4 linked regions of the Arabidopsis thaliana genome follow. The protein of the gene in region 4 interacts with the protein of the main gene of each other region in a pairwise test. Each region holds a gene or a part of one and is shown on either strand. Other genes may lie near its edges. The genes, in order: AT1G50730, AT4G26410, AT3G03990 and UNE16.

Region 1 (10,279 bases), on a different chromosome or scaffold from region 4:
TGTATTATATAAGTTTTGATACTATATTCGAATAAAATGTAATATACTTTTTCAATTTGAATTCTTTAACTAATTTAAGCTAACTAATATATTTGCTAATCTTATACCTATCAAAACCGACTATAGTTTCTTATCTCTATAGTATTTTTGCAAGACTTTTTTGGTGGATTTGGATAAAAGTGCATTCGGGTCATATGGTACATTTCCCTATTAAATAAATATGGTGCACTCCTATGTTATTAGCTAAAAATTTTAGATTATAATTCAGAGTCATATCATAAATAAAATTAATATTAATAAAATAAATGACTTTTTAGCAAGACGGATTTGGAGGGACGGGTTTTTTGAATCAACATTAATAAAAAAGTAAAATATAATTAATCTACCGTTTCTATACGGGTTAAATCTTTAAATTATTATTTTTAAGACCACTAATATTAAACATATCAAATCATCTTAATTTAGAAAAGGTTATATAAAACCAAAAAGTTATGTAATATGTATAATGTTACTATATATAAAATTAAACTATAAAATATAAATGTATTAGAGAATGATACAATTTGCAAAAATTTTATATATAATAAATAATTCTTACATTTTAAAAATTACTACTTTAAAAAAAAATCACGGGACGGGTAAAAAAATTACAGAACGGGTTTTATTTTGGAATTGAGTTATATGGTGGTTGTATTTGAATCAATATTTATAAAAAATTTAAAATATTATTAATATGTTGTTTTAATAAGGGTTAAAACTTCAGATTTTTAACAATTATCTCATGGATTCGTGGTATACCGTTACTTAATAACAATTATAAATTGTAAAATATAAATATTTTATAAAAATAAAATTTGCAAGTTTTAATAAATATTACTTAAAAAAAATAAATAGTCCCGCGGTATACCGCGGGTTAAAATCTAGTTAATGATTATAATCTAAGCACTGCCGGTTAGTTTAGTCGATAATCAATGTATATTAATCAAGTGTGTAAGATTTTATATTTAGGTTAACAAATTTTGAAATAAGCTTAATTAGGTCTAACAATAAATTTATGACGATTACACGCATCATATGTTAAAGCCTTAATTCTATTTCTAATTATAATAATCAAAAATATTTGTGTGATGACAAATGTGAGCAAACTTGATCAAGTGATATATATGCTTAAAGAAAGTTGAAAAAAAAGAAGGTAAACCGGTTATTAAGGAAGAGCCGGAATGTGACCTAGAAAGTGTGAGTATAATCATGGCTGGACGAGAAATTAAAGGCATGCGGTGTGGTGAAGCAATGTTAATCAAATCCTTAATATTACCATAGGGACTTTCGTTCCAAGTCTTTGTGCCCTCTCGTACACCGTCGGCCAAATAATTATAATATTTATTAAATTAATTATTATTGAACTTTTTGTTACTTCGTTAAACATTTTTTCTTGGGACTATTCTATATATTTTTATATTAAAATTGTTATGATATTGGAATAGTTAAAGAAGTTATTCAACATTGACAATTTGAGATATAGCAATATTTTTCTGTAATTTGTGTTTGTTAATTTGCATTTGTTTATAATCAAATGAACATGCCATTTGATATAAGCGTACATATAGGTGTGCTAGTATAACGTATAAGCTAACTACTAATCTACTAGCCTACTAGTACTAGGAATATTGCATGCGTAAGTTTTGCGTACGGTGCATACTTCTTTTTTATTTAAACAATTTTTCAAGAGAATATAAAAATGATAGATATGATTAAAATCTAATTTATAAAATGAAATTGATTAAAATCCTTTAAAAATCATTATATATTTTTTTCTATTCATATTTTCATATTATTTAGTATATATTAATTAATAGATAAGAAAAACTATTAATCTTGATAAAAATTTAAATTTATCATCTAAATAGCTTTTGGAAAGAAATTGCTCAAATTTTTGTTCTCAAGATTAGTTATTGATCTCAACCTCACTATTCAACTCCATTTGCGAGGGGTGATTTGCATCTTAAACATGGTAGTATCAACGGGTTGTCTCGGATATCAAGAACAATGATGGGACAAAAGTTCAAACTTCACACGGTTAATTAAGAAATAAATAGTTATTGATCTAGCAACAAAAAGTAGAAAAAGATAAATGATATACGTATATAAAAAAGTCCAAAATTAATATCATGATATCCCTACGAATTCACGTTTTAGGTGCAACATTTATCAATCCACCACAAATATTATCAATTTGAATGAAGAGTACGAGTAACTTGTTGAATATCTGGTATAAGACTCCCTCATTGACCCCATTAATGTGGAAGAATCCAAAGACCAAAGGATTATTGCCCAAAAAGAGCGTAATCAGGTTTTGGAACCGTCCTCAACGTCACTTTGTCACACAACCGTGACTAATCTTTCACTTCCCGAAGTACTCGTGGAAGTGCCCACGCCTAACCATGAATTTGCTTGTGCCAAGAAGCTATCTAGCTATTGCCTTCAAGTGTTTGTAGAGAAAAAGTCGAATTATCTTTACAATCTTTATGTTCATTTGTGAGTGTCTTTCCTTTTCATTTACAAAACTTTAGATCTTTGAATCTCACCTTTGTACTATGTTTTTCGTTTGTCTCTGAATGAATGAAAATCAAGTCTTCGCACGCACAAAAAAAAGGCGTAGTAAGATATATAGAAATTATACAAAATGAAATAGGTTTATTTAGTGTAAGAAGAAAACAAAGAAATGAAGCTTAATTGAAGAACACCAAACTTAGTTAATCTTAGATTGATATCATGAAATGATGAACAAGGACAGTTGCATAAAGTTGCAACTCCCAAAATTAGCTACATTGGATTATTGGTTCTTAACTTCTTATAACAACATAGTTTTTATGAATCTAAACTTGCTATAAAAACTCAAATTAGGTGGGTTTATGAATTTTTAATGAGATAATAGTTGGACTTCTTATGTGGAATTCTCTCATAATTAACACTAACATTATTTTTAACTCTACTAATTTTTTCAAGATCCTCCACTGCTCTCAAATAATATCAAACACACAAAAAAAGAGAGAACTAATTTAACTTGTTTCAGTCTTAATTCGGAGTAGACATGAGACTCACAAGTTGTTGGTTATAAGAAAAAAAAAAAACTCACGTTGACAAAATCAATTCAGCTGGTTAAGTTTGGTTTAGTTCGGTTTGTTCTTGGGTTAGAATTTTTGTTTTGGGACACGTCTACTCCAATTTGACTTTTCATAAAACGACACCGTAAAATCACCATTAAGCGTTGTGGTTCTTCTCAAAGCAGAATCGCAGATCGTCTCCGGAGAGACGACAACGAGAATCACAAAGCCATGGAGTTGGAATTCCGGCGTCGCGACTATGGAGCTACACATAAATCTCAATTTCTTCCTCGGTCACAAACTCAAAAGCATCCTCTTTCCTCTACACTTGCTTCTCGTGACCAACAGGTCTGCGATACGATCCCTTAGAGGAGCGTTCACTAGCTATATCAATTCCCACATTTTTGTTCCCTTATCCAATTCATTAGTCTTCTCTGAATTCCTAGTGATTAGAGTAAAAAACTTCAATATATTGTTTGATTATTACTGCTGAATTTGATGGCTTTTGATTTTTAGTTCTTGAAGAGGATTGATGCATAATAAGACTTGAAAAAATTGATTTATAAAATATATATGTAGGCTAAAACTGTCAGAGGTCGCGATCTTCACTTCTTTGATCCATTGAGGGGCTTGGATGTGAATGCTTCTGCTGAAGAGAATGTTGAAGATACTTGTATATCCATTGAAGCTGTAACTCAGGATCTGATAAAGGAGTGGAAATCACTTAAAAGAATCTTAATGCAGCGGTTTCCTGTCTCCAAAGTGATTTCATTTTCTCCAGTTACGTATATTCTTTGCATAGAGACTTATTATTTGCTAAAAAGATCATTTGGTGTCTCCCTTATTCATCTTGTCTAACCTGTTCACCCATATTTTACAGATATCTAATATAATAACGAAAGGTTCCAAGGGTATGTCTTCGTTATGCCTAATAATAACCCTTTTCATTGTAGCAGCCTGGTTTATTGTTTCATGAACTTGTGGATGCATATCATAACAGCTTCTGCTTTGCTTTACTCAATCAGCAGTTGAGTCCCCTTCTGCTCTTTCCCATCCGGAGGAAACTGGCAGCGAACAAACTTCTCTGGAAGAGCCGGCCAAAATAATCAGCCAACATGAATATATAGCCAAAGTACATGAGCTAAGAGATGGAATAAATAGCGCTTGGCAGGCTGAAGATCGAGTAACATCGTTGAAGTTATCAATAAAGGTTAACATACTAACTAATCAAATTGCTTTGCAACAAAGCATGGAGAATTTGTTTGTAAAAATTTCAAAAAATTGGTTGTGTTCTATTCCTCTGTATCATTTTTATCCGTATGAATAAGTAAAAAGGATTCATTTGATTGATATATCCAATATAGAGTGCTCTTAAAAGCTCGTGTTCAATTGGAGTTGTATTTGAATACTTTTCCGCCATAGAAGCAGTTTGCTTGGAAATAAAAATAGATATGTGCTTTGGCTGTAGATATTTATTCCTAACTAACTAGATTATTATTATTTTAGGGTTCAATAATATCTTCCATTCTGCAGGTCACAAAGCTTCTGATGGATACAACAGTTTTGCGGTTTTATCCTACAGTCTTTGTCATTGTCACTGACATGCTAGATATGCTTGGGGATATGGTGTGGGAGCGGATCAAACAGAAAGCAGAACTTGATATAGATGGAACAGTGATCTGCGCCTTACCGAGTATGCATTTCTATTCTAATCGTGTGTTTCTTTCTAACAAAATAATATTTAGTCCTGAGCATAGTGTTCTCGAGAATAAAATTATGTGACCTGGGCATTTGTTCATGATTACAATCAAACACATACATTTGATGCCAACAGGTAGCGTTATTTCTAGTTGCAGCTTATAATTTATTCTCTAACCTGTGCTAAAGACAGATGATTTTCAATCAAGTGATATCTGCCTTGAAGCAAGAGAGACTTGCTATAACTGGTTTTGCAAAGTTGGTTCTGTTCGAGAACTTCTCCCTCGCATGTAAAGCCCCATCAATTATTATTTTTCTTATTCTCCCTACCTTCCTCTGCCTTAGCATTGGCCTTTCTTTGTATGCCCATAGTTATCTGGAGCTTGCGATCTTGCCTTGCTGGCGTTTCCTCATTAATCAACCCATGGAAGTTCTGGATCGTTTAGTCATGATGGTGAGAGGTCTCGCAGATCCACTGACATCTTTGTATTGTCGTCTTTATATGGTGCATCGCATGCAGAAGTTTGGGTTCTGCAGTTCAGGTACTCTTATACTATTATTCTTTCAGCAAAATGCTAGATACATGGTTGAAGAATCATAATGTTTTGTAATTTGCAGAATAAGCTTGGCTTTCTTAAACCGAAATGGATACAGAATTCTACTCTAGTCACATTTTCTTGCTAGATATTATAAGTTATGAATTTCCTTGTCATGAGTGAATACAGTTTGAACTTTGAAGAGACTAGGGAAGTCTGTTTGACTTGAGTATAGCACATGGGAGTTCTCGTGAATCATTCCATCATGACTGAATATCTGTAGATGAAGTGTCTCCTATCCTTTTACTTTTAGCAAGATGATGCGTAATGTTAGACACCTTCAGTTTGCGAATTTGAAGTTAGGATTTTACATGCCAACAATTAGATTTATGTGAGATGTTTTTTTCTTCCTTGAGGAAGACACTTGATATCTAAGTTTGACCTTTATATAACAGGATATTTAATCAAATGCATCAAGGATATTGAAGATGTATTGGCGCCTGTTTTAGTGGACAAGGAGGGGTATTCCTATATTACAGACGACAAAAAGTTACTTTTTAGTTTGGTGGAACCAGCCATCGAGTATATAATGAAATGCTTATTTCTGACTGGACGTCAGGTTAGTCAATGTTCTTGACTGACTAAAACTTTTGGTTCACCTTTTTTTCCCATTCACAATGAGCTTGAGTTAGTTTTGCATTACATTTACTGAGGCAAAAAATGTCTGTCAGACCTTGTTTATCATTTCCGTGGTTTGTTATAAATTGATTGTTGTCCTAAAAATTTGGTTAGTGTACAGGAGAACAATGTCTTGGGCATACTTGAGGAGCTTGGATTTGGACGGAACAAATTTCAGTCATCTTACAACTCTTCGCATGTGTCCATTTTACTTCATTATTTACTCAAGGAACTTCCGTCTGAATTAGTTAGTTCACTAGCAATGGAGATCTTGGATATGATTAGATGCAGCAATGATTGTTCCTTTAGTCAGGTTATTTCTTCATCTCAGATTATATAAAATAGACAATCCAGTGAGTCTAACCCTTCCTTTTATGTTGTACTGTTTCATCAAGCAGGTTTTGAATTATAGGTTACTTGGAAATAGATTGTCTGAAGGGAAATCTCAAGAAGGTTTTCTCAGTTCACTCATTGATGAAGTTATTCAGGTTTGGTGTTTCGTCTTTCGTTCAACAAAATTAGGAATTCATTCTCATGGATTTTCAATCTTTTTGTGCCTGACATACTGACATTTATATATACACATCATATACCAAAAGATGCATCTCACTCCTTCCTGAATACTGATTTGCATAATACTCCTTTTCTTGCACATTTAATATGTCAACAAAACCTATGGTAAGGAGCGAAAAGTTAACGTGACTATTGCAACAGGCTGACATTTAAATGTAACTATTGTAACAGGCTGCTTCTCAGTATCAGTCACTTTATGACTACTTAAGAATTATGGACGCATATGTGGATCTTATGTTGCAGAACAAGATGGTGAGACCGATGTGATTTTTTTATTTGTACTCATGAGAATTCTCTGATCTCGTTTCTTTAGATTTATTTATCAGTTTTAATGGTTTCAGGAAAATCATCTGGATGCTCTCTTGGATGATATTGTAAGCCTAGCTCGCGACAAGTTTCTTTCTGAAGAAGAACAAGCAAGTTTGCAATCCATAATTTTGAAGCTGCTCTCTCATTTCGAGAACTTGCAAGAAGTACTTCCTCTGGTAATACTTTCCTCCCTCTTTCCTTTATCTACTTTCAGGCTTTCAGGAAACAGTACACAGCATCCAAATAGAGCTGTTTTGTATTTCTTTGGATGACATCATTATCTAGTTTCGCTAAACAACTTCTTTGGTTATCTTCTAGAATCATTTCATCGAGATTCTGGATCTTATGTCTGGGACTTCAAAGAGCAGTGTAAACATGCATCTTCTTAACATGGGTACAAGGTAAGGCTTGTTTGTTTTTCCAACGTTCTTAATTTGAACTAAATATCTCACACTTTTTGGATGGGGACATAGACCATTGTAAAGTTGATGAACGTTAATTTACATACATAACGTTTATGTATTTGGAAGGATTTGTGATCCTCTTTCTTTCTTGGTTAAAGTATTCATGTTTCTTTTCCTTTGGAGCAGGAATGGCTGCATTTGTGATTCAACAACAGTGCAATTGCTTTTTGAAGTTTCTCAGGCTCTTTATGATGCTACAGATTTCGTTAACATAAAGGATGATGACAATAGACAGACATCACATTTAATTTCTCGTTTTGTTGAGATGGTACCTTAAGTTCCACTTACATTATTACGAAATCAGTGAGCACTTGCCCTTTTTGTCAAGTTAGTTGAATTTGACTTCACTTTTGATGCTTAGGTTGACTATGGGGCAGAAATGGAACGCCATTTATTGTTTTTGGCGGAGTGTCGTGAGGCCTTTAATGGGATACATGAACTTAAGGTCAGCAAAAAGTTAATTATTCTTTGGTATCAGTTTTAACTTTTAATACTGCTATACCTGTGGAGGACCCTGTATAGTTCCAGTCTTGTGCATTCTTTTACTTCTTAAAGAGAGTTGATTATCTGGTAATCAGTTAATTATGGTGCATTGCTATTTATCTAGTCCTTTCTTGCTTGGTCATGACGGATACTTAGCCTTGGATTTGAGGGTCAAGCAGCAATGTATCTGCCATCTGGTGCATGATCTAAGTTATACATAATAGAATTTGAAGGTTAATGTGAATTTGGTAAAAACTCTAGAAATTACCGCAAAATTTGGCTACATATGATATGGTACATTTATGAGAAGGGAGGAGTACAGAGACTATTAGATATTAAGTATAGAGACTAGAGAGGGAACAAGAGCAATACATGCTTCCCACATGCTTTTTTTCTTGCTATGGGTGTGTTTATTTTTCGTTTATTTGCATTAGAGCTTGACACAAACAAAAATTATCAAACATTTTGATCATTTTTCCTGCTTATGGTCACTGGCTGCAGGAGACACTTGTTCGTTCAAGCAACACCTTGGCAGTAAAAGCACTGAAAGCAGGAAAGAAGCATATCAACTTTGTTAAATCTTGCCTAGCATTTAGCGAAGTGACCATCCCATCTATTTCATCTCCCACGAAACACTTAAATCTTTATCTTGAAACTGCTGAGGTAATATTTTTGTCTTTTTCAGTCCTTTACACTCCCACTTCAAAGCAATATACGTACTAAAGTTTGTTTTATAGGTTGCACTTTTAGGTGGTTTGATTTCTCATTCAGATGAACTGGTCATGTCAGCTGTTGAGTATCTAGAGAATGTAGTGCTGACAGATGGTGAGTCTGCAAATGTTTAATTTAACTACTGGATACTAAATAAATATCTGAAAAGTAATAAAACTAGTCTGACATATCTTGCCACCCTAAGACCAGTTACTGCAAAGAGAATACTTGGTTTAAATATTATAATGATGATTCTATGGTCGGTGGCCTGCATACACTTTTACTTGTGAAGTTTTTTCAAGTATAGATGATTATCTTTTTCTTCGTCACTCTAGCTTTGTATTTTTTCCATTTTCAGTTGTTCTTCAGGGCCTTTTATTTTTTCTCCAGATAAATGTATATGTCTTAATGAATGAATATGCATCGGATATGTTGATGGTATAATATCTTGTACATTTTTCTCTATCAGGTTTAAAATCAATTGATATAGATAGTATGGCCTCGGTTATATGCAAATTGTGCAGCCTCTTGGTAATGATCCCAGGTAAATCGTGGAAACTGTTTGATAGTTTTTGCTCAACAATATAGATGTGACTCTGTGTCACCAAATTGATTTCGTTCTCCTTATTTCTTCGGAGCTTCATAACTGAGTTATTTTCGTATATTCAATTGGAAAGGTAATCCCGAGAAAGGCGTGATGGAGATCCTTAAAAGTATCTTCTCTGCTACTCGCTCTAGTTCATGGTATGCATATCTCAAGGACTTAGTTTTTACCTACCTGTGGGCTGTGGACATGTAAAATAGACATGTATTCTCTTGTTTGTCTGCTGTTCTAATGCCCTCTTATGGCTAAAAGTTTATTGTCCCTTATGTAATTGTGATTGTGTGACATTTTGTGTTGTTGTAGGGCAACACTGAGAGTAAAGGTGAAGATTTTCTGTGCTATAATGTCACTGTTGTCGACACTTTCTCAGGACAATCTGCCTTACCATTCTGCCAATCCAGAGGTATTTATATGCCTCTCATCATCTTATTTGAAGCAAAACATTAGTTCCATTGTCGAAATTCCTTGGTCTGCGTAGTCTGTTTTCTGATGGCTGGTTTTATAATGTAAAATTTGGGTTATACTTATTTTTGTGCAGATAATTGGAAATGAATTGCTGTTCTTTGGTGATTCATCATACAAGCAGGAACTTGTCTCGTGTACTCAGTTAGTTCTAAGTGAACTATTAGATGCTATTGAGCAAGAGTCTTCACAGGTCAAACTACTACCACTAATAAGAAACATTCTAACTTTTTTGTTTCTCTAACTAACCCGAGGTTTTATTATTGCAGATTTCTCGGGGGAACATGGCGCTTGAAGCTTGCAATTGCATATCATCAGCACTAGTGGTACTGTTTTTCTGCCAAGTTTTGCATATTTTCTCATTCTTGAAAAGTTTTATTAACTTGGGGTGGTGACATGTTTGATGTTGTGCAGATGAATGAGAAAGTCAAAGAACTTTGCTTGAGACTGCTGGAAACAGCAAAAGGTTGTTTGGGTGCCAATGACAGGTACATCGAATCGACTAAGAAATCACTCCAGCTAAGATACACCGAGTGAATGTTAAATTATATGATCCCAAATGTGGTGGCAACAAAGCTTGTGAGATTGTTGCATTTGGATCCAGTCAAGTACTCGTTTGTACTGTACTGGGTATCTATTTGTGTCCATAAGGAAAAT
Region 2 (7,137 bases), 5.4 Mb from region 4:
GCACTGTCCGTTGTCGTTGTGAGAACACTTCAATGCTTGGTGAAAGAAAGAACGTTAATCTCCCTGGTGTTGTGGTTGATCTCCCAACTCTAACTGAAAAAGACAAGCAAGACATTCTTGAATGGGGAGTTCCCAATCAAATCGACATGATTGCTCTGTCTTTTGTCAGAAAAGGTTCGGACTTGGTACAAGTTAGGAAGCTACTTGGAAAACATGCTAAAACCATACTTCTCATGTCAAAGGTACATATATACATACATCACTCAAACTAATATAAATCACATATCCATACTCAGATTCTTATGATATGTTACTTTTGATATTGTCAGGTTGAAAACCAAGAAGGTGTAGCGAATTTTGATGATATCTTGATAAACTCGGATGCGTTTATGATCGCAAGAGGTGACCTTGGAATGGAGATTCCAATTGAGAAGATATTCTTAGCTCAGAAAGTGATGATCTACAAGTGCAATTTCATGGGGAAGCCAGTGGTTACAGCGACTCAGATGCTTGAGTCTATGATCAAATCCCCACGACCAACAAGAGCAGAAGCTACTGATGTTGCAAATGCTGTCCTCGATGGCACAGACTGTGTCATGCTTAGTGGTGAAACCGCAGCTGGAGCATACCCAGAGCTTGCTGTTCGTACAATGGCCAAGATATGTGTGGAAGCAGAGAGCACACTTGACTATGGAGACATCTTCAAGAGGATAATGCTTCACGCTGCGGTCCCTATGAGCCCGATGGAGTCACTTGCTTCATCTGCGGTCAGAACCGCTACTTCCTCAAGAGCCACTCTTATGATGGTCTTGACCAGAGGAGGCAGCACGGCGAGGCTGGTGGCTAAGTATAGACCAGGGATACCCATTTTGTCCGTGGTGGTTCCTGAAATCACGTCTGACTCTTTTGATTGGGCGTGTAGCAACGAGGCACCGGCAAGACACAGTCTCATCTACCGTGGTTTAGTCCCGGTGCTGTATGCTGGATCGGCTAGAGCCTCGATCGACGAGTCAACAGAAGAAACTCTCGAGTTCGCGTCAGAGTATGGTAAAAAGAAGCAACTCTGCAAGACCGGAGACTCTGTTGTGGCTCTCTTCCGTACAGGTAACGCTATTGTTATCAAGATCTTGACCGTCAAGTGATCCCATTTGCGTTTGAGTTTTGCCGGTGTTTCTTAGCGTTTTGGATGTTTATTCATCATGGTGACTAATCTTGAGATGAAACTCAAAGTCTCTTTTGTTTCTTTTTTTGTGTGTGGCTCCCACACACTACATAATGTTCTTGGATCATACTCTGGTTACAAGTACATTAGTTTGGTACGAGTGCAATTGCATAAACAAAGACTATTTTTTGAATATATTTTACAAAAATGTGTGATCACATTTGGCTCGTGATCACACAACTTTGGGATTCGTATTTGGAGATAATGCGATTCATGCAGTCAACAACCATACTCACAGTCACATGCCTCTCCCTCTCAACATAAATACCTGTGTTCATCTTTTTATATTTTACTAAATTAAAAGGGATACTTTTAACGGAAACCCAAATGATCATCAGATATTATAATACAAATAAAGAAAAGATTCCATTCCTCGAAAGTGTTTATTTGTTATGCAGTATTCAACAATCTGAGTGAACAAGATTTTATGTACTATAAGCTGAGGAATAGCAGTTTACGAGTTCTCACCGAGATGAGATGACCCCGAGGCCGATGCGGATGACGAAGAGGATGAAGAGAATAATCCGCTGAACGGCCATGGAAAAGAGAACCTTCTCTCGCTCACATTACTGTTCCTTGCATCATCTTCCACATTCTCATTACTTACGTTGATCTCTAGAGTTCTTGTTCTCGGTCTTACAGGATTAACCTTGGTCTCATCATCAGGAGGGAGTTCATATCGGCACACGGGACATGAACTGTGAAGCTCGAGCCACGGTACTATACACCGGATGTGAAACTTGTGCTTACACGGCATCTCTTTAGCTTCACTTCCTTTGTCAAAATCATCCAAACAAATCGAGCACTGCAATGATTCACTTATCTTAACCGTTGGGAGATTATCCACAACTTCTTTACGTGCTGGAAGACTCCCGTGCCTGATTGAATCATTATCAGCTAGATGTTCAAGCAAATGGTCTAAACTGGATCCAACAAAGTAATCTCCAATTGCAGAAAGAGAAGTATTGTTCCGGTTTTGATTCAAACTCGTTGAACCCTGAACAACAGCTGATTGATTTAACAGGTCTCGATCCGAGCTCTCATACTCAGAAGCAATCCCTGCACGAATACCCTGAAGCAACTGCAATATAGTAGCTGAGCTTCTCCGTCTCCTCCTAAGGATAGACTCAAACTCTCTGTCTAAATCAATCTCTCTACCTTGTTGCCTGTGGCGATGACGACGATGATGATGTCGATCAATATCGACGCTGTCATTTCCATCAACATCATCAGATACATTGACCTCATCATTATCCACACCAAACTCTGTCCTCCTAAACCTTCTACGTCTACGAGGATTACTCATCATTCCAAGCAAGATTGGACCCCATAGAGACAATGCACGGTCTGTACCAAAATCAATCTCAGGGTCTTGAACCTCCCTTAGACTGCTACTGCTGCCGCCATTAATCTCACGGCTCATTTCCTCGACAAACCCGCTTTGGCAAAAGGGGCATTTGATCTCGGCACCAATAACTGGATTCACCATTTGTGAACACATGTGACACCAATACCTAGCTGACATTGCCTCTTCCTCCTTCTTTCCTTCCCCACCCAAACCTCTCGTTTCTGAAACAACCAGAAGAACAACAAAAAAAAAAACATGAAGAAGCAAACCTATAAAGTTTCGACCTTTGTTTCATCAGATCTAAATAAAGAGAATGGTATTCCCAAAAGTTTCACTAAAAAGAGGATAATATCATCTTCACCAACATCATTAGCTCAAGTTTCAGACAACAAAACGCAAGCTTTCTATGCAAATGCGAATAAACAGATCAACCAAAATTTGCCTCTATAAAGAGATAACAATAGAAATCAGGGCTAATCCATGAAAAGAAAACTCTCAATTCTCATGGAGTAATTAAAACAAAACAAATACAAAAACAAACCTTGTAAATGTTCTTACTTTTGGAGATCCAGAGGGAAGAAATGTCTTCCTCCTTCTTTTAGATCTCCACGAAGATAAATGAGAGCTTTTTTATTTGTCTTCTTCTGCAGAAATGGTGGGAGACGAAGAAAAGAGGAATGAAGGAGGAAAGGAAGACGAAGATGAAGACGAAGAAAAGGGAATGTAATGTATAGTTCGCAGACCCAATCTTAAAGCCCATTAACCGCAAACTGATATATAAAGGAGCCGGGTCTATCTTAACCATTTAAAACCAACTTCTAATTTGGAATCAAATTGAACCGAATCGAACCGGTTGAAGTTGAAAGAAGGAGAAAAGGCGTTGTCTCCGTGCGAGAAAGGCAAATCGGAGACGATGAGCGAAACCGAAGCAACCGGCGTTACCGATGATTCGGCTCCAGCGATTGAGACTGAAACTGTTTCTGATGCGATGGAGCATACAGCGATCGGAGTGGTTGAATCGGTGGAAGGAGCCATAGAAGGAGCAGAGAAATGGGTGGGTGATTTGCAACGGACGGTGAAGGAATCGAAGGATACCGCAATGCGTTCTGCTCGTTCCCTCCGTGAAAATTCTACCTCTCAGTTCCGCTCTATACAGGTTAGTTAATCTCTCTTTTGTTCACCAAACAATTTTTGCGAATCGAGATTGTTTACCAAAAAACATTTTCAGGATTTCAAACCATGGATATGGTGGAATTTAGTATCTCGTAAGCTATAATTTCTAGAAATGAGCTCGATTCAGAACAGATATTTCTCCAATTAGCAGTTTTATGTATTGAATGGTGCTAGTTTTTGTTCATATGGGTAAAATCTTGTTGAATCATACCATTATAACTTATTGGCAATGATCTTAGTCTCTTCCTGGGTTCTGATTCTGCTTCAAATGGTTGTTTAGAAGACTGTAATGTATCGCTGAGGCATTCTTGATTATTCTCTAAACAATGTTTTTATATGATATCAGATATTCATGTAGCTTAATGATGTGTGATATGGAGTAGACCCTATCTGGCTGAAATCACAGTTCCATTAGATGTATGTATATGTCTTCGTCTTCTCTCATACAATCTTACATTTGATTCTGAAATTGCAGGATTTCATTCCACATGCTTTGACTCAGTATAAGACCTATGAGAATGCTTTCTTCAGTAAAGTTACAGGTATCTTGCAGCCAATTTTCGTGAAAAAGTTATACTGGTAGACTACTGTAATGCTTAGGAACGAGTATTTTAGATCAAACTGAGATATAACAGATAGCTGCCACAAAACTTTTATATATACTTGTAGTGCATCTTATAGTGTTCTGAAACTAGAATCTTCATGTCATTCCGATTAATCAATCCTCGTATCCTCTGCTGCTTTTGTTATCCTCGCAGACGAATTGATATACGCAAAAGAGCATCCGGCTGCTGCTATTGGGATTGGTGTCGCTGCTAGTCTCGTTCTGATGCGAGGTATAACCTCTACTCTCTTATCACTTTTACAACTTACAAGATTCCTTCCCGTAGGAGCATCCAAATGGTATTACATCTGTTTTACTTATATGTGTCTTGTATGAATTTGGTTTTCTATTGTTCGACTTACAGGCCCAAGAAGATTCTTGTTTCGTAATACACTAGGCCGATTTCAGAGCGAAGAGGTATATACTATACCAGCTTCAAATTTATTTCTTAACGTTGTTATGCTTAGTTGCCCTGGTCTGTGTCCCTTCCCTTATTTTTACATCCACTTCAAAATCATCGTCGCTTCAGGCACAATTCTTGAAAGCTGAGAAGCATGTTCAGGAGTTAAACATGTCTGTAGACTTGATGAAAAAGGAGAGCAGGAAATTGCTTGAGAGGACGGCTTTAGCAGAGAAGGATATGAAACGTGGTCTCTCTGAGCTCATGTATGCCCCAACATGGACGCTCCCACTTCTTTTATTAAGTTATTGACATCATTTATGTTAATATGGGTACTACTGTTATATCTATAGGAACTCTGGAAACGATATACATCGTCTTGCTAAGTCCGTCCACAAAGCTGAATGTGAAGCTGCTGGTAATCTTGAACAAGATTTATTTTTACTCACTTCTCCCTTCTCCCTTCAAATGGTATCTTTGATAATGCCACTACGTCAGATTTCAACTTACACAAAGAGTTCTATTCGCTGCAGATTTGATGGACGGACTTCGGCAAATTCCTGGAAGGGATGCTATCAAGCTTAGAGCTGAAGTGAGTCTGACTTTTTTCTTCTCGCCCATTGTTTGAGCTTCATTGCTATGAACGTCTCATTAAATTCTTTTGTCGTAAATCATTAGGTGGCTTCCATGACTTCGCTTTTGAGACAGAAGAGGATTGCATTGAACAAAAGGATCATGGGTATGTCGGACCTAGGAGTTTCCGTCTGATATATCCAACACAAATCCACAATTTCTTGGGTTTTCGCAACCAAAGTTTGTTAGGTATTTTCCAATTGAATCGCAGTGTACTCTCGTCCATCGAACATCCAACTCTGTCTGAAACCAAAATCTGAGCTTGAGACAGAACTTGTATACTGTGTTTTTGCCTGCTTCCTAAGATTTCTCGCTCAGAGAGAATTAATTGAGTCACAAAAATGTGTGTGCTTGGTTTGGAAATCCTTAATTATGTAGTCTAGAAGATTTATGAGAAACATAGAAAGTTACTGAATCAATCAGTAATGAAAATTTATAGATAACATGAAGGTTTTTAATGGGCTAGTTTTGCATCGTAAGTCTATGGGAGACGGGCTGTGGGCCATCCACCCATGCGACTAGGCGACCCAACTGCTCCGATTGGTCTAGTAATGTTAAACCCTCCAGACGAGCAAGAAGCTTCAGTCGTCGGACCGGTCCGACCATTAACGTCCAGAGTCCGTTCTCTCCTCCTTAGACGCTCCCTCTTGAGCAGAGTCCCTAACTTATCTTTTCCCGATTTTCCCTTGTCCGGAACAGGTATCATCTCCAGACCCATCAGCTTTGCAACAACCCCCGTCTTGCACCATACCACACTCTCTCCGGCCACTGTCCGTGGCAGGCGTTTTGTCTCCAAGCTCATCTGGCTCGATCTCTTTGATGTCCGTTGATCCCCGCAGTGGGATCTCCGCCCACCCTGTATCGTCATGTCAGCACTGGTGCCAAGATGGCGCCGGAAGGATGACCGGTACATAGCGTCCTTACCGTCCAGTGAGAAACGTGGGTACTGATTCAACGCGTTCCTTGCTGACCTTAACGGCAGACAAACAGAAGTTGATATTAGTATTGATCATAGTATCATACACAATAAAATTATTTCTGTTTCTTCCGGTAATTCCTTAAATATCACTACAGATTTCACCAGTATACGAAATCTAGAAAATTCAAAAAAAAAAAAAAAAAAAAACACTTTAAAATGTAGTCATATAACTTGTTTCGTACATTCAAATCTACACCGGTGAATATCATATTATCAATCATGAAACCAACGTTATTTCTCCTCTTGAATACGTTATATTCATTATTCAATATTCATCTTAATTACTAACGTGGCATGTCAAAAAAAGTTAACTATATGTAAGAGCTCATGAGTCCCTAATGAGAATATTTACTTAAGTACATATAAAAATAAGCATGACGCACCTCAAAATATCGGAACTGTTAACGCATGACATCCGGGCGGGCTGATGATATAACTTATCATCATCAACATCATTATGGTCATCACAATTATCGTAAGTACCGTAGTAAGATTCACGGAGTCTCGCTCTTCGAACAATATCTTCTTCAACCTCTAGCTGAAGTATCATCTCCTCTAGAGTTCTCGGAGATCCTCCACCGAAAGGAGTGTTTTCAGGTGTAACAGAAGGCCCCACATCGTTCTTTTGATGTTGGTTTAGTGTCAAAGTTGAGCCATCACCACCACAAGAGCTAGCAAAGCCGCTACGTGGACCTCGTCCTCGCATTCTCGAGGCGAGGGAGTATTTTTTGAGGAAGAAGAAAGAAAGATCTTTCATTGTCTTGTTTAGGATAATACT
Region 3 (6,247 bases), on a different chromosome or scaffold from region 4:
ATCTTTTTAACAAAAAATGAACATCTTGATCTGTGAACATAAATATCATCGAACACAAAAAGGGATTATATACTCCGTATTGAACTATTGATAAATACACGAAAATGGTCCTTTTTTGAAATTCGAATCCTAATCGAATTGAATTGAAGATAACCCTAATCGAGAAATACAGAGTTTCGAATTCTGAAAAGAGTAAAGTTGATGAATAGCAAAGTAACGAAGAGAACCAGTGTCTGATACAGCGAAGATTGACCCAACAAAATTAAAGTACCAATTCTTCTTTCCCAGCAAAAATCAAGAAGACCCAAGAATCTGAGAGTCCCCAGATACCAATAGAGAATCGCGCTTCTTCTCTTTTTACGATACGACGCGAAGAAGAAGAAAACCAGAGAAAAAAAGGATTCAACCTTTTGTTTTTGAATGTTGAGAGTTTGGTGTGATGGGCGGGTTTAGGGTAAGTCTCCGTTATTTTTGGGTCTAAAGCAAATCTACCCCTTTATTTTTTTTGTATTTATCGAAATGGTACCAACATTTATATTTCAACCAAGTAGAACCTTGGTGTTATTACTGCAAATGGTTTGTAGAAACTAATTTAGTGAAGCGACTGCTTATTAGTAATTTGATAGAATGGTTTTGATTAGCTTCTTAATTCTCTGAACCTTTTGAATTTAATGTAGCTAAGAAATAGGATACGTTGGAGGTCTTTTACCCAAAATAAAGATCATGGGAGTTGATTTAGTTATGGGGTTGTTTTGAATGTTTTTTACACAAACCGGTAAAGTTTGTATGTTAGTCTCATAGTTAATTAAAACTATATATATATATATATATCAATTTGTCTTTAAATTAAAAAAAAATATTTAATTCATCGAATCCTGTTTGATTAAAATCTCTATTATTGTCCATTGTCCAGATACAATTCGACCAAATTTTATGGAAAATAGTAGTCAAATTGCATTCATATTCTTACTGCCAAATGAACTTTATTTCCATAATTTACCCCAAAAATTTGGTCCAAATCCAATGCCTTGGTTTCAATTTGGGAACAAATATTTGACTACAGTAAATACAATCAATTGACAAAACAATAAAACTGTGTCGGCAAAAATAATCGGTTTAAAAAAAAAAAAAATCTAAGCTTAGATTATAATGTTACAAAGAAAATTGTTTTGTTTATAAACTTTTAAATATATATCTATAATTTAAACCACAAAAAAGAAAAAAGAAGGATATTTCCCCAATTCGAAATGTAAGGCTTTTCTGGACAAAGAATCAAGAATACGGTTTAAATTGTTAAATGGAGAAATGAATGGGTCATTAATCTATAAATATGAAGATATAAAGAGGAAAGAATACGGTTTAAATTGTTAAATGGAGAAATGAATGGGTCATTAATCTATAAATATGAAGATATAAAGAGGAAAACTGTCAAGGAGCGGGTAGGGGTCAATTTGTTAAAATATAAAGTTAGGGGCTGATTTGTAAAACAATATGAATGAACTTATAATGAGGGCCAATCCCAATTTATCTTCTTCACTCCAATCACATCACTGCTAAGACTCATTGAATTCAAATCGTTATGTCTACACATTCATCAATCTCGCAACCGCCGCTTCCTCTCGCCGGAAGAGTCGCCATTGTCACCGGCTCTTCCCGTGGTATTGGCCGAGCGATAGCGATCCACTTAGCTGAACTCGGTGCGAGGATTGTTATCAACTACACCTCTAAAGCCGCAGACGCCGAGCGTGTCGCGTCGGAGATCAATGATTTTCCAGTTAGGGAAGAAATCACTGGAAAGGGACCAAGAGCTATTGTGGTTCAGGCCAATGTCTCTGAGCCAAGCCAGGTTAAATCAATGTTTGATGCGGCGGAGAGTGCCTTTGAAGCGCCGGTTCACATTCTGGTTAACTCTGCTGGGATTCTCGATCCAAAGTACCCTACGATCGCAGACACATCAGTCGAAGATTTCGATCATACGTTCAGGTATATACTCGATACTGTTCGTTGATTGGGTTCGTTATAGAAAGCTGATTCCTTTAGAGAATTTATCTTCATTGATTGGGTTCTTGTCTTCCCGCTCAATACTGGAAAAGTAAACTTTTTTTTGTTAATTAGTTAGGTTGATGATTATGTATAAGTTCTTGATCAATTGTTACATGTTCTATGATTTTGAGTTAGAAAGCTGATTCCTTTAGTATATTTCAACTGAGATTTTAGTGGAATCTGTGTTCTTGTTCACTCTCCATGAACCATGAAATTATATGTTCCGTGTTCTTTAGATTTGTATGTCTAATTATGAGTCAAATGCAACATGTCTCGTGTTCTTGTGGCTAATTAATCGACTTATGTTTCTTGTTTCATCCAATGTTCCATGTTCGTGAGATTTGTATGTCTAATTTCCAACTAAAGTTCCTTCATTCTTGTTTCCAATAATCCTCTGTTTGTTTCTTTTAAAATGGAGTGTAGTGTCAACACAAAAGGAGCGTTCCTGTGTAGCAAGGAAGCTGCCAATAGGCTAAAACAAGGAGGTGGTGGTCGGATCATACTTCTGACATCTTCCCAGACTCGATCTTTAAAGCCAGGGTTTGGTGCCTATGCCGCATCAAAGGCAGCTGTGGAAACTATGGTCAAGATTCTTGCAAAAGAGCTCAAAGGAACAGGAATCACTGCAAACTGTGTTGCTCCAGGACCCATCGCCACTGAGATGTTCTTTGATGGAAAGACCCCAGAGTTGGTGGAAAAGATAGCCGCAGAGTCTCCCTTTGGGAGGGTCGGCGAAGCCAAAGACGTGGTGCCTCTTGTTGGATTCTTGGCTGGTGACGGTGGTGAATGGGTCAATGGTCAAATCATTCCTGTTAATGGTGGATATGTATAAAAGAGTTCGTCTTGAGAGGAGCCTCTTCCTGATACCTTGAGAAGCAAATGTAGGGGTTAACTTGTTAGAAATAAAACATTGGGTTCAATTGGAATAATAATAATAATAAACACTGAGGTTGAAAATAAATGTCTTAACCATCTTAATAAAACACTCGTGACTCACCTATGTCCAAAAAAATATATCCAAATTTCTTCTTCTTTTTTTGTCGACATCCTTTTGTTGTTGTCGTCGACATCTAACTTTTGAATTTCTTAAAAACCTTATGTTTAATTTACAAACTCGTGTCTTCGTACTGACACATTCATTGGAACCACTTTATGTTTTATATAATTCAATTTATCATCACCCACCATTCGAATAATCTTTGGGATAAACGTCGTTTGTTGAAATACAACTACAGAATAAAAAAATGGTTTAAGAATATGGCAAGTGCAACAACACCTAAAAGTCTAAAAACAATATCCTTGAAGCATCTTAAATCTCTTAAAATATATCAGATGTGTGACGAATAATCAACGCATGCTCTTGTATCCATAAACTTCAAAAGCCAATCGAAAGTATTGGATAATAATAATAATAAATGCAGTGGAAAAAAAAAGATGATAAAGGAATTTTCATTACACACACACACCTACCCAAACAAGTTTTTATATAAACAGTATCCAACTCTCTTCTTTACCCTCAAACCCAAACACATAAAAAAATGAGTCAACACAACATCTTAGAAGCTCTAAATGTCCGGGTCGTGGGTACGGGTGATCGGATCCTGTTTTTGGCCCATGGATTCGGTACTGACCAATCAGCTTGGCACTTGATCCTTCCTTACTTCACTCAAAACTACAGAGTCGTCCTCTATGACCTAGTTTGCGCCGGCAGTGTCAACCCCGATTACTTCGATTTCAATCGTTACACAACTCTCGATCCTTACGTCGATGATCTTCTCAACATCGTTGATTCACTCGGAATCCAAAACTGTGCTTACGTTGGTCACTCTGTTTCCGCTATGATCGGAATCATCGCTTCGATTCGTCGGCCGGAGCTTTTCTCCAAGCTTATCTTGATCGGATTTTCGCCTAGGTTTCTCAACGACGAGGATTATCATGGAGGATTCGAAGAAGGTGAGATTGAGAAAGTTTTCTCAGCTATGGAAGCTAATTACGAAGCTTGGGTTCATGGATTTGCTCCGCTTGCTGTTGGAGCTGATGTTCCGGCGGCGGTTAGAGAATTTAGCCGGACTTTGTTTAATATGCGTCCGGATATATCTCTGTTTGTTTCGAGGACGGTTTTCAACAGCGATCTGAGAGGTGTGCTTGGGTTAGTTAGAGTTCCGACGTGTGTGATTCAGACGGCGAAGGATGTTTCTGTGCCGGCTTCGGTGGCGGAGTATCTTAGGTCTCATCTCGGTGGAGATACTACTGTGGAGACTCTTAAAACTGAAGGACATTTGCCGCAGCTTAGTGCTCCGGCGCAGCTTGCTCAGTTTCTCCGGCGAGCTCTTCCTCGGTGACTTTTTTTTATAGATATAAAAAGAGAACAATAAAATATAATTGGTGGAATATGGGTTTAGTGGGGTCCACGTATCGAAGAAAAGAAGGGCCTCTATTTGTGGAGGACAGTTTGGCATTGTCACAAATCTAGTAAGATAAGATTGTTCACTTGACACGTGACTTTCGCTTTTTTATCACTTTTTTTCTTGCTCTCTTCATTAGTTTATAATCACAAGTTTATTTCATAAAATAATTGGAGAATAACCAAAAAAAACATTAAAAAATCCTATCTTATCTTTTACTTTCCTCTGAATATTTCTATCCATATTGTTGTTTCTTGTAAGTTCCTGGACCTTGTATTGATTGACGTCTAACAACACATCGATGCAACAACAATCTTTAGTCTCAACACTTTCGATTGTTTTCTCTAATAAAATGATGGAGACAAAAAGATATAAAGTATACTAGAAAATTCTAGCATCACATCGTAAAAGTATCAACAACTAAAATGAAGCAACTATGGCTGACATAATCTTGATTTAAGTTTTATAGTATGCAACTATGCATGTGTGTTCTAAATAATTTTAAAGTTAATAAAATTGGTTAGTTGTATAATGTTGTTACCGTGCTATATATAATACAAGTTAAGATTTGAGAAAGTGAGTGTGTGAATTCTAGAAGACAATCACACAACGAAAACACGTCCTATCAATCTAAACTTTTGAGCAATTCAAAATGCATACGAATTGACAGGTTAAGACAAATCTAAAAACATTTTCAGCAATTCAATTTGCTTACGAATTTGACAGCATAAGACAAATCTAACCATCACCACTACAAATTGCTTGCTTACACTCTTTTAGCACGTTGTCATCATTTCTACCCTAAATATAGAAAAGTAAATTTATAGTAAAATCTACCTAACAGTATGGCTGCAGCGTCATCAGTTTCTTCTCCACCGCTTTGCCTCGCCGGTCGAGTAGCTATAGTCACAGGATCTTCTCGAGGAATAGGTCGTGCCATAGCCATCCACCTTGCCGAGCTTGGGGCTAGGGTCGTCGTTAATTACTCAACTAGCCCCGTTGAGGCTGAGAAGGTTGCCACGGCGATTACCACCAACTGTTCAAAGGACGCGGAAGTCGCCGGCAAAAGTCCACGTGTCATTGTGGTGAAGGCTGATATCTCAGAGCCGAGCCAGGTAAAGTCGCTTTTCGATGAGGCAGAGCGAGTCTTCGAGTCGCCGGTTCATATCTTGGTTAACTCAGCGGCTATAGCCGATCCTAATCATTCCACTATCTCAGACATGTCAGTAGAACTTTTTGATCGCATTATCAGGTTAATTTTAAGAAACTCATTTATTATAAAGATTGTTTCATTTAGTTATTTTGCAACTCTATAACGTGAATTTAATTAGATAGTGATATTAATTAGATTCGTTGTTTGATATAACAGTGTGAACACAAGAGGTGCGTTTATTTGTGCTAGAGAAGCTGCGAATAGGCTAAAACGTGGAGGCGGTGGCCGGATAATTCTCCTCTCAACATCACTGGTTCAAACCTTAAATACAAACTATGGCTCATACACGGCTTCAAAGGCAGCCGTAGAAGCCATGGCCAAGATTCTTGCAAAAGAGCTCAAAGGAACAGAGATCACAGTTAACTGTGTTTCTCCGGGTCCCGTCGCCACAGAAATGTTTTACACAGGATTGAGCAATGAGATTGTTGAGAAAGTTAAGTCACAGAACTTATTTGGTAGGATCGGTGAGACCAAAGACATCGCACCTGTTGTTGGGTTCTTAGCCAGTGATGCTGGCGAATGGATCAACGGTCAAGTCATCATGGCTAATGGTGGCTGTCTCTTGTAAAGAAAGAGAGTGGTTATT
Region 4 (6,596 bases):
CTCCACACCCAACAGAACTTAGTGAAACACTTTTCCGCAACGACACATCCTCCAATGCTTTTCCACTATCTACAATGTTACAACTTGCATCAAAATCAACATTCACTATCCAATATAATTGAATAAAGACAACAAAAAAACTTACCATTGGAGTTCACAAGAAGAGGATCATTTTCATCATATGATCCCTCAAAGCTCTTAAGGCCTAAACAACTTTGGTAATGGTTCTTGAAACCATACGGCGACCTATGGAAGCTAAGCCGCTTACTCTTAACTTTAAAGCTTCCTTTTTTCAAACTTTGCGCAGTTAAAAGATCGAACCCTGAAGCCTTATTCTCAAACTTTCCAACAGAAGGAGTAGTACTAGATACCTCATCTTCCAACTGAACACGTCTACGCTCACATTTTCTCTTCTTTCCACCATTATACAGAATTGAATCAAAAGGTGTTCTATTTTTAACAGATCTTTGAACAGAAGAGATCTTTTTAACCGGAAGATTCCTTAAACTCTCTTGAAAACACTCACTGTATAGACCATCACAAGGACATGGTAGGTCTAAACCAAATAAACCGAGGAACTTCGATGTTACATAAACGATAAACGATGCGCAAAGTAGCGAAAACGCAACGGAAAGATCGATAAACGCAGCCACTAAACCTTTAAATGTCCATGATTTTACCTCCTGGCAACGCATTTTATACCTGCAAGTATACAATAATCTACAGAAATTACTCAAAGTTTGAGAAATTGGTTAGAGAATCAAATTGTTATTTGAATCAATTACAAGCATATATCCAAATCTAAGACTAATTTGGTAAGTTAATCAATCAATCAATCAAATTATATATAAACACAATCGTTACCACAGAGAAAACTCAACGATGAATCAATCGTTAACACAGAGAAACTCCTTGCGATTTGATTAATTTTTAGTAAATTAGAGAATTGAAACTCACACGAAGAAGAAGAAGTTGAGAAATCTTGGGGAAGCAAGCACAACGTAAACGGCTCTTCCTCTGCCGTTTTTATTTTCTCTCTTTGTTCAAAAATCAAAACTTCTTTTTTAGTTTTCAAAACTTCAGTTGCAAATCACCGTACGAGTGAGCAGATACGCCGTCATTTTATCGCCGACCCCATCACTCTCTTCCTCTTGAGATTTTTTTTTTTTTCTTTGACATTTTATTTTACACACGTAATCAAATTTGTGCATTTACGCAAATGTGTGCCAACTAATTTGTAGACAAGATCCAATCTATAGCATGGAGATAAGTTATGAGTATTTAATGAGTATTTTTTATGTTATACAATTACATAAATTCTATATTTAGGTTTGTCCAAAAAAGAAAAAAGAAGGCAAGCTTAGAAAAAGTTGAAGCAAATACACAAACTAAAAGAGAGGCTACAGATTCAACAAATATATACATAGACGCTAAGACAAGTTTGATGACAGAGTTTAGAGTTAAATACAACATAGCAAAATTAAATAAGCTAAAATCTGGTCTCGCTCTCTCTCTCTCTCTTGCTAACTTCATCCAATGCTACTACTAGGCATAACCCATCCAGCATCATGACCAACAACCACACTATCTCCATTTCCAAACACTCCTCGTTGTCTCTTCTTCATCAACGCAGCTGATACCGGACTTCCTACAGTGCTGGAAGTCAGAGAGCTCTCTGCTGAACAGTTGTTCTTGTGCTCTATTGCTACTGCAAGCTCGGATAAGGATGGAATCATCATTTTGGTTGTGTCGAAGGTGCTTGTTGTTCCTTGGCACCCATTGGTGATGGAGGCCTTTATGGCTAGCTCTGAAAGCTCTTCTCTAGCTGCCTCTAACCCAGCAAATGCAACAGCTTGCTCCTCTATAGCCTTGCAAGCTTTCTCTAGAATTGATTGCAGGTACTTCCCTTGTGCCTCGATCCTTAACTGGAGTCGCCTTTGCACCTGCGTATACTAATGGATCTTATTAAATGTGGAACCAGGGCTCAAACATTAGTATATGCGGTTTCTATGGTTCTAACTTTCATGAAAAGATTTCCTAAGTAGTAACGTTCTGATAAGCTTTAAGGAAATTCAATGGAGGTTTCTATATAGTCTCTCATTAACCAAAGTCTCTCTGGTATTTGGTGAATTCGAAGAAGAAACTAACCTCTAGTTGCTCGTGTAGTCTTCTTTGGACTTCCATCTGGGCACGCAAAGCTTCAGTGACCTGGTAACTCCTGGCTCAAGACAAAAACAATGAGTGTTATAGACAGTGAATATAACACTTGGAATAAAGAGAACACTTGAAACCATACTCGTTCTGTTCTTGAGCAGCCAATCTTAAGGATGATGTTGAAGATGAACCAGTGTCCTGACTCTCCGCAACACAAGAAACTACAGAGATATAAGTTCACAAAGATATAAATGCACAACTGAATCCATAAAGATATAAATGGATTCTTAGCTAAAGATATAACTGAATACCATCCTTAGAGTTGTCAATTGATTCTTTACAAGATTGCCTCCCCAAGCGGAATTTCTACCGAGCAAAAAACCAGAGAACAACACAGTCAAAAAGCAATGAACTTTGTTTGTTATAAGTAGCCAAAGAAGCATAATTTGATATTGAAGGTAGTAGCATCAAAACCTGAAGATGAGATTTGAGATGGTAAAGAGTGAGACCCTTCACTCCCATTGTTCTCATTATAGTTTTAGGCGTTGCTTCTGACATCAAACCAAACACACAAAAAAACTAATCTTGTAAACAAATCTCAAGGCCAATAAAAAAAACCTAAAGAATGCCACAGTAATTCCTAAATTGTTCTAAGTGACATAAACCCAAGAAATCCATTCTATTTCAGGATGATTGACTTCCAAATCTGAAAGAAATTAGACCTAACTCGTTGTCAAATTCTTCGTACTAACTGAAGAACAACAGATTAAAAAAAAAAACACATTTCATTCTAAGATCCATAAATTTCTAAGAAGGGACACTTACTGTCGGGTCCGCCGAGCTGAGTGACGGCGTCAACGAATCTTTCATGGAGCTCAGAGGTCCAACGAAGGCGAGGCTTGGGGTCAGTGGTTAGGACCAGACAAGCGTCGATGGGAAGATTGGTTCCGTCAGAGTAGTCTCCCAAGCTGCCATCTAGAGGAAGCGAAGACCGAATCGCCGAGTACATTCTTCTTTGATCCCCACAAAGGAACAAACTTTTCTTCGTTTCTTTTATTTTCTCGGCTGTTTTCCCGGGAAAGTGAAAGAAAGTGTGAAGAAAGATATTGTGGATTTCTAAGACAGCGAAGAAACGAGTTGATAGATTGGACAAGACAACACTCGGATAGTATTTTGTGTTTATATTTGTGCATTATTGAATTTATTTAGATATTTTCAAAAAAAAAAAAAGAGAGAGCAGAATTTATGTTTTGGTTATTTGTACTCTTTGCATTGAAATTCCAAATAACATATATGTTTTGAAAAAGTAGTAAGATAAAATTTCTTTTAGTTATTATTTTCGTTTTTCAATAGCAGAATAAAACTTCAAGTTCTCTATCTTAAGATGGTGCTAACTGCTAAAATAAACCAAATGAAAAAAGAAAAAAATAGGGTCCTCAATTTTTTTTTAAATATCAAATCCTTTAAACCTACTAGACATTTTTCCAATTATTTTTCTTTTATATAATTCAAGAGAAAAAAAGTATTCTTTAGCTTTAGTTTTTTAATTTTTATATTACTATTGACAAAATTTGTTTATGTAATAGCAGTTTCCAAATTCAGCCACATAAAACATTAAGAAATCAGAAGCACATCAATCATTCATATGCATAAAGAGAGACTCTGTTTCTTGGCAACATAGAATCTTTATTTTGAGACACTTTCTCTTAATCTACAATTCATCAATTTTAAAGCCATAGATGCACGTATATATGTAATATGTACACATATATAAGCCCCTAAAAAAGGATGGGGTATGAAAGATAGTGATAGTTACTTAGCAATGGTAGTAGAAACAAAGGAGTGGTTCGTTTTGTTAAGTCATCGATGGTCTCCTTTGCTCATGATCAACTCCTGCATCAACTCCAACTTTTCCTCAAGAACAGTCATGTGACTATTCTTTCCTTCAGGATAATACTCTTTGCTCAAGTATATCGTCTAGTATCATATCATTGCTGAGAATTCAGCTTACCCGTAAGGTTTGGTCCATGATCTCCTTCTTTGAGCGAGAACCAGAGCTCGAACTTTGGAACACAGACTTAACCTTCCCAAAAGAGGCGAGTGAGCTACCAGGCTTTGGCTCTTACCAGTAATCTTTACAAGAGCAAGCACCTCCTTCAAAATGATGAAACCTATATGCATCCCTCACTATGATTTCTCGATTTGATACCTTAGATACAAACTTTATCCAAGCATGGCAATCGTTGCAAACACGTAGGTTCTTCATTACATTTATAGGCACTGTTGCAGGCAAGCTAAGGAGTCCAAATGAAATTGCTAATTTCTCGCTGTGGATGAAAATTATTGGATCTTTTTGCTCGTGCTGCAGTTCATTCAATAGGCTGAAACAGTCTTGCACATACCCGATTTCAGATGCTCGTTTGGTAAGATCTTGGAAGTATTCATGTATCTCATCTGCTAACGGGTGATTCTGGTCACCAACATAGAAAGAGTGAATTGAGTTTTTAACTTCAATCCAACTTTGTCCCGGTTCTTTCTTCACACCCTTTTCTTTCATCTTTTGTCTTGTAAGATCCCTAGCATCCCATTTCTTGGACACCGCATACAGATTTGACAGAAGAACATATGTTGCTGAGTCTTCAGGTTCTAACTCTAGGAGATGATGCGCTGCAAATTCTCCTATTTCCATGTTCTTGTGCACTACACAAGCACTCAAAAGTGTTCTCCAGACCAAGGCATCTGGCTTAATAGGCATTTCCTGAATGAACTCTTTCGCACGGCTCAAAAGACCAGCTCGAGTTAGCATATCCACTACACACACATAGTGTTCCGGTTTAGGAGATAATCCATATTCTGAATTCATGGATTCAAAGTATGCAATCCCCTTGTCCACTAGTCCTATGTGGCTACATGCTGATAGAACTCCCACAAGCGTCACATGATTAGGCCTTACATTAGAATGTATCATCTGGTCAAAAGAATCTAGTGCTTCAGAACCAAACCCATGTTTAGAATAAGCATTAATTATCGCATTCCACGAAACTTCATTTTTCGTGGAGACTTCAAGGAACTGCTTCTCTGCATCAGAAATGCTCCCACACTTGGCATACATAGAGATTAAAGCATTGCAAACTTCGGTTTCTGAATCGTATCCGGTTTTGGTGATCACAGCATGAACCTGCTTCCCTTGTTTCATGTTAGCTGTCTCAGAAGCAGCTTTCACAGCAGACCCAAACGTGAAATTATTATTGTCAATTCCTTCTCTGTTCATTCGAACGAAGACACGAAGTGCTTCTTCATTGTTTCCACTCTGCTGAAATCCGGATACCAGAGCATTCCATGCTATATTATCTCCAGCTTCAGTTTGTTCAAACGCTAAATACGATTCCTCTATTTTTCCGCATCTAGAATAAAGTGTAACCAGTGCATTTTGAAATGGCAGGTCAGATGAGAAACCAGATACACAAGCTTGAGCATGAATTTGCTGTCCTTCCTTTAAGGCTTGAAGACCAGCACATGCACTAACTGCATTTGTCAATCCAACTTCATCAGACCGAATCCCTCGATCCAACATCTGCCTGAAAGTTGTTAAAGCTTTGTCGTCGAAATTGTATTGCGTGTAACCTGCAATCATTGTTGTCCAAGACACAACATCTTTTCCAGCAAACCTTATAAGTATATCCCAGGCAGTATCCAACTTTCCTAATTTTGCATACATATCGATGAGCACACTACAAACATAGGCATTGAGCTGAAAGTTAGTTTTTATTATTTGACTATGGATTTGTTCTCCAAGCTCCAGATCCCCAAGTCGTATGCAAGTTTTCAAAATACTCGGGTAGGTATATTGATTTGGAACAATTTCCTCTATCTGCATCTGTCTGAAAATCCTAAAAGAATTTCTTAAATCGTCTAATAACCCATAAGCTACTAGCATCACATTCCAGAGAACTACATTTTCAACCTCAGTCTCAAGAAAATAATCAAGGGCGGTTTCAATATCAGCGCATTTTGCATACAGATTAAGGAGCGCACCTTCAATCTTGTTGTTTGAAGCAAAACCAAGTTTAGTTGTGTATGCATGTAGCTGTTGTCCCCTAAACAGAGTTCCATCAGCTGAACATGCAACCACAAGGCTCGCAAGAGTATTACTGTCTGGTTCAAGTCCATCAAGGTGCATTCTTTTGAACAATTCCATAGCTTTCTCACCATAACCACACTGAGAAAGCCCGTTGATAAGAGTGTTATAAGTAACTGCATCTCTCTGTGACATGTTACTGAAGATGTGTTCTGCTGATATCAAATTTCCCAAATGAAAGTACAAAGACACAAGTGCATTGCAAACATAAGTGTCGGAGGAAAACCCTAACTTCAATACGAGCCCATGAAGCTGCTCACCAATCTCAAGAGATTCTATCTTCTTACACGCACTTAAAACACTT

The links.
Region 1: the proteins of UNE16 (region 4) and AT1G50730 interact in a two-hybrid assay, tested with the Arabidopsis thaliana proteins (one large-scale study listed by BioGRID).
Region 2: the proteins of UNE16 (region 4) and AT4G26410 interact in a two-hybrid assay, tested with the Arabidopsis thaliana proteins (one large-scale study listed by BioGRID).
Region 3: the proteins of UNE16 (region 4) and AT3G03990 interact in a two-hybrid assay, tested with the Arabidopsis thaliana proteins (one large-scale study listed by BioGRID).

The regions. Positions count from the first base shown.
Region 1 is NC_003070.9:18,791,940-18,802,218, forward strand, and holds AT1G50730 (uncharacterized protein), read left to right. Parts: upstream 1-3,270; 5' UTR 3,271-3,335; coding exon 3,336-3,452; intron 3,453-3,683; coding exon 3,684-3,866; coding exon of another isoform or gene 3,867-3,884; intron 3,885-3,984; coding exon of another isoform or gene 3,985-4,015; intron 4,016-4,104; coding exon 4,105-4,314; intron 4,315-4,637; coding exon 4,638-4,797; intron 4,798-4,995; coding exon of another isoform or gene 4,996-5,011; coding exon 5,012-5,344; intron 5,345-5,793; coding exon 5,794-5,957; intron 5,958-6,137; coding exon 6,138-6,329; intron 6,330-6,414; coding exon 6,415-6,504; intron 6,505-6,760; coding exon 6,761-6,841; intron 6,842-6,930; coding exon 6,931-7,074; intron 7,075-7,216; coding exon 7,217-7,299; intron 7,300-7,488; coding exon 7,489-7,630; intron 7,631-7,723; coding exon 7,724-7,807; intron 7,808-8,346; coding exon 8,347-8,508; intron 8,509-8,582; coding exon 8,583-8,670; intron 8,671-9,025; coding exon 9,026-9,100; intron 9,101-9,233; coding exon 9,234-9,300; intron 9,301-9,463; and 9 more.
Region 2 is NC_003075.7:13,343,277-13,350,413, forward strand, and holds AT4G26410 (chromosome-associated kinesin), read left to right. Parts: upstream 1-3,377; 5' UTR 3,378-3,483; coding exon 3,484-3,726; intron 3,727-4,218; coding exon 4,219-4,285; intron 4,286-4,501; coding exon 4,502-4,579; intron 4,580-4,711; coding exon 4,712-4,764; intron 4,765-4,876; coding exon 4,877-5,013; intron 5,014-5,100; coding exon 5,101-5,165; intron 5,166-5,280; coding exon 5,281-5,339; intron 5,340-5,425; coding exon 5,426-5,515; 3' UTR 5,516-5,861; downstream 5,862-7,137. Other genes in the region: AT4G26390 (Pyruvate kinase family protein), read left to right, coding at 1-242, 330-1,142; AT4G26400 (RING/U-box superfamily protein), read right to left, coding at 1,677-2,747; AT4G26415 (uncharacterized protein), read right to left, coding at 5,862-6,351, 6,743-7,116.
Region 3 is NC_003074.8:1,030,207-1,036,453, forward strand, and holds AT3G03990 (alpha/beta-Hydrolases superfamily protein), read left to right. Parts: upstream 1-3,372; 5' UTR 3,373-3,581; coding exon 3,582-4,385; 3' UTR 4,386-5,031; downstream 5,032-6,247. Other genes in the region: AT3G03980 (NAD(P)-binding Rossmann-fold superfamily protein), read left to right, coding at 1,580-1,983, 2,467-2,875; AT3G04000 (NAD(P)-binding Rossmann-fold superfamily protein), read left to right, coding at 5,294-5,700, 5,818-6,229. UniProt on the Arabidopsis thaliana protein: Involved in strigolactone signaling pathway. Does not move long distances acropetally in the plant to regulate shoot branching and is rapidly degraded in the presence of strigolactones.
Region 4 is NC_003075.7:7,935,335-7,941,930, forward strand, and holds UNE16 (Homeodomain-like superfamily protein), read right to left. Parts: upstream 3,312-6,596; 5' UTR 3,164-3,311; coding exon 2,980-3,163; intron 2,706-2,979; coding exon 2,629-2,705; intron 2,521-2,628; coding exon 2,466-2,520; intron 2,376-2,465; coding exon 2,297-2,375; intron 2,219-2,296; coding exon 2,149-2,218; intron 1,953-2,148; coding exon 1,530-1,952; 3' UTR 1,272-1,529; downstream 1-1,271. Other genes in the region: AT4G13630 (zein-binding protein (Protein of unknown function, DUF593)), read right to left, coding at 1-69, 146-695; AT4G13650 (Pentatricopeptide repeat (PPR) superfamily protein), read right to left, coding at 4,277-6,596. UniProt on the Arabidopsis thaliana protein: Transcriptional activator. Probable component of the central regulatory system controlling transcriptional responses to Pi starvation. Binds in a sequence-specific manner to phosphate starvation-regulated promoters.